Linked DNA regions of Arabidopsis thaliana. The protein of the gene in region 1 interacts with the protein of each later gene in a pairwise test. Each region holds a gene or a part of one and is shown on either strand. Other genes may lie near its edges.

Region 1 (4,665 bases):
ATATTATCTTAGCATATCGTGACATATATAGTCCGCATGTCGCTTCCACTACAATCATACGGATGATCTCTTTTGATATCATCATGATTCATGAAAGCCGTCAACGTATGACTAAGATTACATAATTAATCAATAATGGTCCAAGAAAAAATAATAATTATGTTATTATTATATCGTAACAAAACAGAATCCATGAGAACGGTCCTTTCGTGTCAAACCAATACGTAGAGAGTCAATTGGTTAGTGATTTAATAATTGGAACTACTTGGATCATCTTTTAGGTAAAGACATAAATTATAATATTTTGTTTCTTGTACATATATGTATAATAATGGACCAGGTTGGGTAATGAGAAAGAAAAGCTTTACTCATAATCCAATGAGAAATTACTTTTGTGAAAAAATTATTAAACTACAAAAAAAGTTGGCCCTTTTTAAAATCTTACTTTGCCAATTTTCAACAATGGACTGCTTGGAAAAATGCTGGTAAGTGTGTTTCGTTCCCACAGGTTGATAAGATTCGTATTAGGTGAAAACTGAGAATTGACGAGGTCTTCCAGGTTGTCAAGGAATTAGTTTAATTATGCTTTTGAAATTGAAATAGGTCCAATGGTTTATAACACACAATAAAATATCTTCTCTTCCTTTTTAACTACTAATATCTGCAAGAGCATTTGTATATCTACACAAAAGATTTGGTTGTTAAGATAGTTTTTGCATCTAAGATTTGTCCTCTTTGATTCAAATTCGAGTCTAATGTCGAACAGCTGGATCGTATGAAATCATATAATAATCAAGAATTATATAGTTAATTAATGTACTTAGAATCTCATGTTGATTATGATGATTAACGTCCAAGTTCACTCGGTTTTTCTGTAGAACAGACGATTTCAAAAATCTTCCACAAAGTTGTTACAAGTGTGTCTTATCTTCATAAAAATGCAAACGAAACTTTAAGTTCGATCCGTTTTACCGAATGTTCTTCAGCCTACTTGCAACTAAATGGGCCTAAATTGAGTTGGCTCAAAAAAGCCCATTTCATAAGGAGCCTGCTAGAGTCATCATCGGTCGCCGAAGAATCAGATGGAGTCTAACTAAAGTCTTTCGATGGAAAATCCAATGTAGGGCATTTAATATGCTTGTTGTGAAAACAGAGATGTGGAATGGATATTTCTCGAACAGTGTTGCAATGTAAAAATACATTCGTGAAGTCTGATGATTCGAGATTGATGCAGGTAGAAGAAAACGACTTCATCTCCTGTTTTGTTACTTCGTCTCTCTATTTACATGTTCACAAACCTAAACCTAGGGTCTAGAGAGGAGACTAAAAGGCCTAACTAAGCACACATTCTTCTAACACAAGACTTGCTAATCAAAACCCAATCTTGCTCTCCTTTTCAGTTGTTATTGTTGCTGCTTATCTTACTTCGTTTTTGAGTAGGAGGTCCAAGAGGACCTAAGCGCAGAGATAGATCACATTCACACCCACCAAAGGTAATGCCATTTGTTGCGTCAATGAGACTCGCCGGTCTACTGTTCTTGGACTTACACGAGTCACTGATTGGCCGGAATGAATAGCATAAAGGGTAGGCAGAGTACTTGGAGACAGGGCAATTCTCTTGTGCTACTGCAAGATTCTTTGGAGCAAAGTTGTTTGGTTTCATGAATACTTGGGACAACATGTTGTCCAAGTTAGTTGAGTCTTGGCTAAGATAACATCTCGGGTTAATGTTCCGTTGGCTCCTTGAAGCTCTCCTTGGTGTGCACCCCAAATGCAATGCAGCTACATAATAAACAAGACTTGCTCATTGATCTGAGCCAATAATCCCCGAAAGCTCGAATATACAGATTGTATTGTATACCTTCAATACAAGGCTGAAGAAATTCCCCTGTTTCGGTGGTCTCATCAAGTCGTATGATTGTGTTGATGGCGTCGTTTGTACGGTCTAAAAGGGTCTTCATGTCCATATACTCAGCCTAACATCAAACCCACAAGAAGTATATAAAATATTCATATTCCAAATGAACACATTAGCTACAAATCCACTCTATCAACTCCATAAAATCCAAGGTTTAGTACAGATTACCAGAGACTATCAGTCACACTGTTCAAAGAGGGCAATAAAAAGCAAAAAATGAAAATCGAAATACTATTTAGAAACAATCCTTTGTAATTAAAATGTTGGAAGAAAAACCTCAGAATTGGCTTTGGAATACATGATTTCTTCAGCTCTCAAGACAACAACAGGGAGCTTCTCTTGCCATTCTGTGTTTTTCCTGGTGGATTGGCTGTGAATCTCACAAACAATCCTACAAATAGTTCAAAGAACAATTGAGCTAAAGAAAGACATGCACACACACAAACCTATAGATACACAGATAGATATCCAAAGTGAGAGAGAGATGATGATGATGACCTGAAAATCTCTTGGATGAGCAAACCCCTCATGGGTTGGTGTCTGTCACTATGCCAAGCTCTTCTGATACAGTCGTACGGTCTTGGCCCTGGCCTCGGCATCTTCCACCACTTCCTTTTCTATGAGAGAGAGAGAGAGAGAGAAAAAAAGACAAAGTGAGATTGTTGTTCTTCACTAGTTTTCACTTCTCAATAATTTATTTGAGTGTGGTGGGGGAGAGAGGTAGTCCTGTCCAACTGGTCCGGTCCGGTCCGGTCCGGTTTAGTCTGCCTAAACTTATCATGGTCCGGCCTACTCTATGTAGAGTTGCAGTCCAATAATTTACTAAAATATAACTAAAAACTCTACCATTCACCAAATTATTTAGGAGTTTTAGGCAACTGTTGGAGTGATTTTGAACTGTCAAATTTAAATAAGACACGTGGATAACTTGCGTCAAATCACCCAGTCCAGTGAGGTCTCAATTGATTGCATGTCTTGTGAGGAAAAAAGAAGAACGACTTAAAAAGCATAATAAGTATGATTTTTCTCTACAAATCACAAAAGAAGATCGTATGATTGAAAGTAATAATAAAGGAAACAAAATGAAATCTTGTGAATTGCTTTCGTACCGCGTCTAATCTTTTGCCATAATTTTTCGCTGACACTGAAACATTCAAGATGACGTCAATCTCTTTATTATTAAAAGGGAAATACAAATTAAAATTTTGTTTAATTTCGCCTTAATTTTGATTTTAATTTTGGATTTTGTTCTTTGCTATTCAAAATCATTATGGTAATTTGGTCTTAACAATCTACTTAACTTTATATGATCCGATTCAATCTAAACCGTTCAATAAAATTAATTCCGTTCAACAAAAATAAGTAAAATAATTTTATTTTTTTTATCTTCACTTTAAAGACATATAATTATAAATAACATAATTCATATAGTCTTTACTTTTACTAAAATTACATACACATAACTAATTAATACATATTTTAATACATTCCTTTTATTACTAAATAACAAAAAAAAAAAAAATCCCAATTATTATTTAGTTATATTTAATTAAAAAGTTTTATATTTATAAGTTTAAAATATCAAATTCATTCAAAAATTTAGTATAAGAATCAAATAAACCGATTGTCCGCGAACTCCTAGTAAATAAATAAAAAATCAGTGAATTGACAAACTAAAATAAAATCTCGTTGCTGACAAATAAAGTAAAGGTCTAAAACATTACCGAAGACCCATCGTCCTAAAACTTTTCAAGTCTGAACTCAAAAACTCAAAATGAAAACCACCTTAAGGTTTCTCGTCGTTAGTGAAAGGCCCAAAAACTCAGATTTTTAAAGGCCCAAATCTATTGCATGTCGACCACGTGGACCACCGTACAGAGAAACTCGTATCCAACAAAGCTGTTGCCTTCGAGACGGAAACGTTTCCTAAAACGGATCGATTACGAAAATTCACGCAGCCACGTGATGTCATTAGAAAGCTTACCATCCAACGGTTTCCATCAATCCACTTGTAAGACTAAGAACCCTCCACGTAAATCGAATATTTTTATGACTCCTTCCTTTAATGTTAGCTTTGAACACACTAATCAAACGAATAAATTCTTTATACATACACAATCACATTATGTGTGGCCTATGATTTAGTCAGATTTATGACAAACTGATAAAGTACAAGAAATGATAACCAAATAGAATTCAATTCATATATACTCTTTTCGGATAAACAGTACAGTGATCAAAATTATTAGAATTAGTGGCCAAATAAAACTAAGAACGTTATGTATATTAAATGACAACTCGAGAGAAGACGAATACTTTTCTATATAAAGATGTAAAATTCCAAATATGAAATGCCATTGAATTATATATTTCTATAATTAGTGTACTCGAATTAAATATATAATTTCTTAACGTAATAATAAGATACAACAAGTTGCACCAAATCCCACTCTCTCACTCTAGAAACCAAATGTCGTTGATAATAATAGAACACTTTCTTTCTCTCTCTAAAAAGCAAAAGTAGTCTAGTCACTGATTTCTTCTAATCCTCCGGTGGAGTGAGAGATGATATCTCCGACGTTGTTTCCTCTCCTCTGCGCTTTATTTCTATGTCTTCCAGTGGCTGTTATCTTCACAGTCCAGCGAGAACTCACCTGCGTTATCTCGCCGGAGTTTGGTTTCCGCTCTCTTTCCGTCTTCTCTCTTTACTCTCGAAATGTCCCCGACTCTTCTTCTTCTTCTCCGGC
Region 2 (4,320 bases), on another chromosome or scaffold:
TTGGTCACGCGCCGGTGATTGATATGCAGACCAGCTGTATCGCTGGGGTCTCCACTCTCTCCTACTGTCTCTTTCTCATTTTTCATCATTTTATTTTGGTAGGGACACATTTTTAAGTATAGCTAAGCTTTTGGTTTGATTACAAAATTAAATAAACTACCTGGTTTTCTTATTCTTCAACTTGCTTATTTTAAAATGAAACGGCAGAATTTTATTGTCATTTAAAGATAAATTTGAGTAATTAGGGAAACATAAAAAGCATGTCATATCCAAATTGTCAATTTGCTCAGCTTAATCTCTGCTTTTATTGTCCTTTTATTTGTTTGGTGAGAGACACTTGAATTTTATTTCATTCAATCATTATTGCATGCTTCGATCACATGAAATTAAATAAAAACCATTTCATTATTAAAATCTGTCTTAATTAATCTCATGGGCATATGATTTATTGTCAAATGTGTTGACCAATTCCATAGGTTTCTTATTTGAAGCAACATAACTAATTATCTAGAAAAAATCTTACACACGTAGTTTCACATATTCAAAGTATTGAGTATGTTTTTTTTTGCTTTAATAAAATATTCATGAGAGGGTAGGATTAAAGATGAAAAGACATGATTGTTCTAAATTAATGTAGGGTTAAAAAAGAATTATTATTTTTTGAAAATTTAAAATTTCGAAAGGACCTTTTTATAAAAGAAGAATGACCCACAAAGGAAAGCAATGATTATAATAGTTATTTTTTGGGTGTCAAAAGCAGTGGTCTAGTCTAGTCACAAGAGCCGAGGCACCTAACACTTCACTCTATGATTATGTGTTTTCAATATTATAAAGTATATATACTCTTTGCTAAATAATTTACCCCAAAAATCTAACATTGCGGCCTTATCATTGACTCATCCAGAAATATTTGATTCGCATGTAAATTTTACATGGGGGAGAATGATTATTATGCGCAAATGTTTGAGGCGAATTGAAAAAAAAAAATAATGATTGGGGCAGTCTATTCCACACCAATGGAATTCATTTGCATTTGAAATTTATGATATACACATGCATGTATGATGCATACCTTAAGTCCTTATCTATTATTGGTTTGGGTATTCACCATACCCACATATAGAGAATCTATAAATGGACCCCCAAAGATCTTCTAAGCCCACAATTATCATCATATATACATACAACTACAAATCTACAATCATCCTCCTCTTCATTTCAAAATCAATTCCACATCAAGATGTTTTGGTACCCTTAAAATAGACATATGTAGAATAAGTTACCAATCTGTGTATATGTTAACTATATTGGAATCCGACCTCTATGCCCCTAATTAAACCCATATGTATATATATACACACAATACCACAGCCCGTAAACGCTTAACGTGAGAATGGTGGTGGTTGAGGAACAAAAGATTGAATAGGATCATGAAGTGTTTGGCCCTCCTCGCACTCCACTCTTGCCGCTTCACACATCATATTACTTGTTGCTAAGTTGCATCCATCTGTGTGATTACACGAGATCCAAAATTGTGTCAAGATTAGGTCTAGGTCACTTTTGTATAAAAATGATGGTGATGAATGGTTTACTATTAGTTTACGTTTTCATTATTCGAAAATGTGATTTTTACTAAGACGATAACCAAATAAATGAAACTAGTTCTTTAGCGTTTCGTATTGTTCAATAAAATTTCAGTAGCTCAAATTTCATTAGCTATTTACTAGTTCTTCCTCTTAATGCTAAATTTTTCATCAACGTATCAGATTGTTGACAACCAATTTCAACTAGTAAACCAAATAGTAGGAGAAATCACCTTCTTTGAACACAAAACCAGAACCGTTGCATTGTTTCTGAAACGAGAAACTACAAAGTTCAACTTCAATTTTCCCCTGCATCTCTACCAGAAGAGCCCGGAGTCTGATCAATTCAGTTTCCACCATTTCTTGGCTCTGAAGTTTTCTAAGGAATTGCTCATTCAGAGATTGCAATCTCATCACTTCATCTTCAAGGTATGCAGTGCGAGCCTTCTTCTTCTCCCTGTACTTCCTCACTGCCTCTCTATTACCACATAACCGTTTCTTGTTGCTACTGTCAGAATGATCATTCTCTTGCTGATCCTGCTGCAACATAAAAATATGTATCTATAACAATCCATTAAAATATCATCAGAAACATACCATATCTTAAGGGAAGAGATATTATTACAGAGATGATGAGATGAGTGTGAGCGTGGAAGCATGTGTGGGAGTGAGAAGCATCCTCTGGGCCTGGAGGGTTACAGCTATGAGTGTGACTACATCCTCTCGTTACTCGATCTTGATCTTTATCTTCTTCCTCATTCATCTTTATATATCTTTGATTCTGAGGTCCAAACTCAAGATCTCCAAAGAAAACACCTGTTCTGTTTGGGACATAGAATTATGGTGATATTATTAGGGTTTTTGATTAAAGTAAAGATGGTGTTGAAGAATATGTTCTTGATTAACATAGTGGATGAATAAAACAGTAGTCAACTCTTTATAATTTTTTGACATGGCCCAAGAAAGAAAAATCTTACAGAGAATCAAAGTTAGAAACTCGTTGGTTTCCTCTGCAATCCTTGCAACAACAAAACATCCAAGTACAAAGATTGATAGGCTTTTTGGTTTTGAGATTACCTTAAAATGTTTTTTTTTTTGTCTGTACCAAACTTTGAAATGGTTTTATTACTAGAAATTACGACGGAACAATAAGCAAAGCCATTTACCATATCCCCAGACCCCAATGAATAATATATTATAAGAAAGAGAATTGGTTCTTTAATGTCAATTGTCAAATTGTTTCGTATAGAAAAAGAAGAAGACTTTTCTCATGGATTTTAACTTATTGCACGTCTCTATCATTATTTAGTGTTCGCTGGCGGACACGTTTTGTAAACGTGTTTATCATCATCATCTTGCTTCCCGACGAGATTTGAGTTCAAGAAGCAAAAATGGCGAGTTTCATCAAGGCATGGGGTTTAGTGATCATCTCACTGTGTTACACTTTTTTCATTGCCAAATTGGTTCCAAAAGGAATCAAAAGGCTCATACTATTTTTCCCTGTCTTCCTCATTTTCTTCATAGTACCTTTCTTGATATATTCCTTACATTTACTCGGCATCACGGCTTTCTTCATCGCTTGGCTAGCAAATTTCAAGCTCTTATTATTTGCATTAGGGCGCGGTCCTCTCTCTTCAAACCATAAACCCCTATCTCTCCCTATTTTCTTAGCTGTCTCTTGCTTGCCCATCAAGATTCAGCTGAGCCCAAAACCTACAAAAACTCACTCCCATGAAGGATCCACAGAGGGTCCTTTGATTTATACCATAAAGGCAGTTTTTGTGGTTCTCATCATCAAAGCCTACGAATACAGTACCAAATTGCCTGAGAAAGTCGTGCTGACTCTCTACGCGATCCACATATATTTCGCCCTTGAGATCATCCTTGCCGCCACAGCTGCTGCGGTTCGAGCCATGTCGGATCTTGAGCTCGAGCCACAGTTCAACAAGCCGTACCTAGCGACATCACTTCAAGATTTCTGGGGGAGACGATGGAACCTGATGGTCACTGGAATCTTACGGCCAACCGTGTACGAACCGTCACTTCAACTGTTCTCGGTTTTGGGCCCGAACTATTCCCAGATTCTTGCAGCTTTCGGGACGTTTGTTGTCTCTGGGATAATGCACGAGCTCATCTTCTTCTACATGGGACGGTTGAGGCCAGACTGGAAGATGATGTGGTTCTTCCTCATAAATGGATTTTGCACGACCGTGGAGATCGCCATCAAGAAAACCATTAACGGTAGGTGGAGATTCCCGAAAGCAATCAGTCAGGTTTTGACACTCACTTTTGTGATGGTGACGGCATTGTGGCTGTTCTTGCCCGAATTTAATCGGTGCAACATAGTTGAGAAGGCTCTTGATGAGTACGCAGCCATAGGCGCATTTGCAGTCGAGGTCAGGAGGAAACTGACCGCATATCTTTTTTAACCCTGCCGTGTGACAAAGCTTGAGTGATCTCTATTTTAACTTATTTTTTTCTAACACTGTAAAACCGACATTTCTGCAACCCCATCATTTACATGGCACACGAATCAAGAAAATTGTGGAAGTTCATAATACTATACATAAAACCTTGCAAACATGATATGAAAGTAAAGATGAGGGGAAGAAACCCGCTCGAGTAGAGGCAATAACATGCAAAATGGATCAGCAAGATCCGCCTAAGTTACACATCTTAAGTCTATCTAAGGCAGTTAGAATTTGTCTACAACTCCTACAGCTAAAGCTTTTCCCAC

Evidence for each region. Proteins that work in one complex are often made in the same cells at the same time.
Region 2: the proteins of AT4G32295 (region 1) and BZIP24 interact in a two-hybrid assay, tested with the Arabidopsis thaliana proteins (one large-scale study listed by BioGRID).

What each region holds. Positions count from the first base shown.
Region 1 is NC_003075.7:15,590,812-15,595,476, reverse strand, and holds AT4G32295 (histone acetyltransferase), read right to left. Parts: upstream 2,590-4,665; 5' UTR 2,518-2,589; coding exon 2,417-2,517; exon of another isoform or gene 2,310-2,416; coding exon 2,195-2,309; exon of another isoform or gene 1,977-2,194; coding exon 1,862-1,976; intron 1,783-1,861; coding exon 1,397-1,782; 3' UTR 922-1,396; downstream 1-921. Other genes in the region: AT4G32290 (Core-2/I-branching beta-1,6-N-acetylglucosaminyltransferase family protein), read left to right, coding at 4,484-4,665.
Region 2 is NC_003074.8:19,281,446-19,285,765, forward strand, and holds BZIP24 (basic leucine zipper 24), read right to left. Parts: upstream 2,748-4,320; 5' UTR 2,620-2,747; coding exon 2,561-2,619; exon of another isoform or gene 2,405-2,560; coding exon 2,209-2,404; intron 2,124-2,208; coding exon 1,817-2,123; intron 1,508-1,816; coding exon 1,383-1,507; 3' UTR 945-1,382; downstream 1-944. Other genes in the region: ASAT1 (acyl-CoA sterol acyl transferase 1), read left to right, coding at 2,975-4,012. UniProt on the Arabidopsis thaliana protein: Transcription factor involved in the regulation of salt stress response. Functions as a negative transcriptional regulator of salt stress acclimation response by regulating cation homeostasis.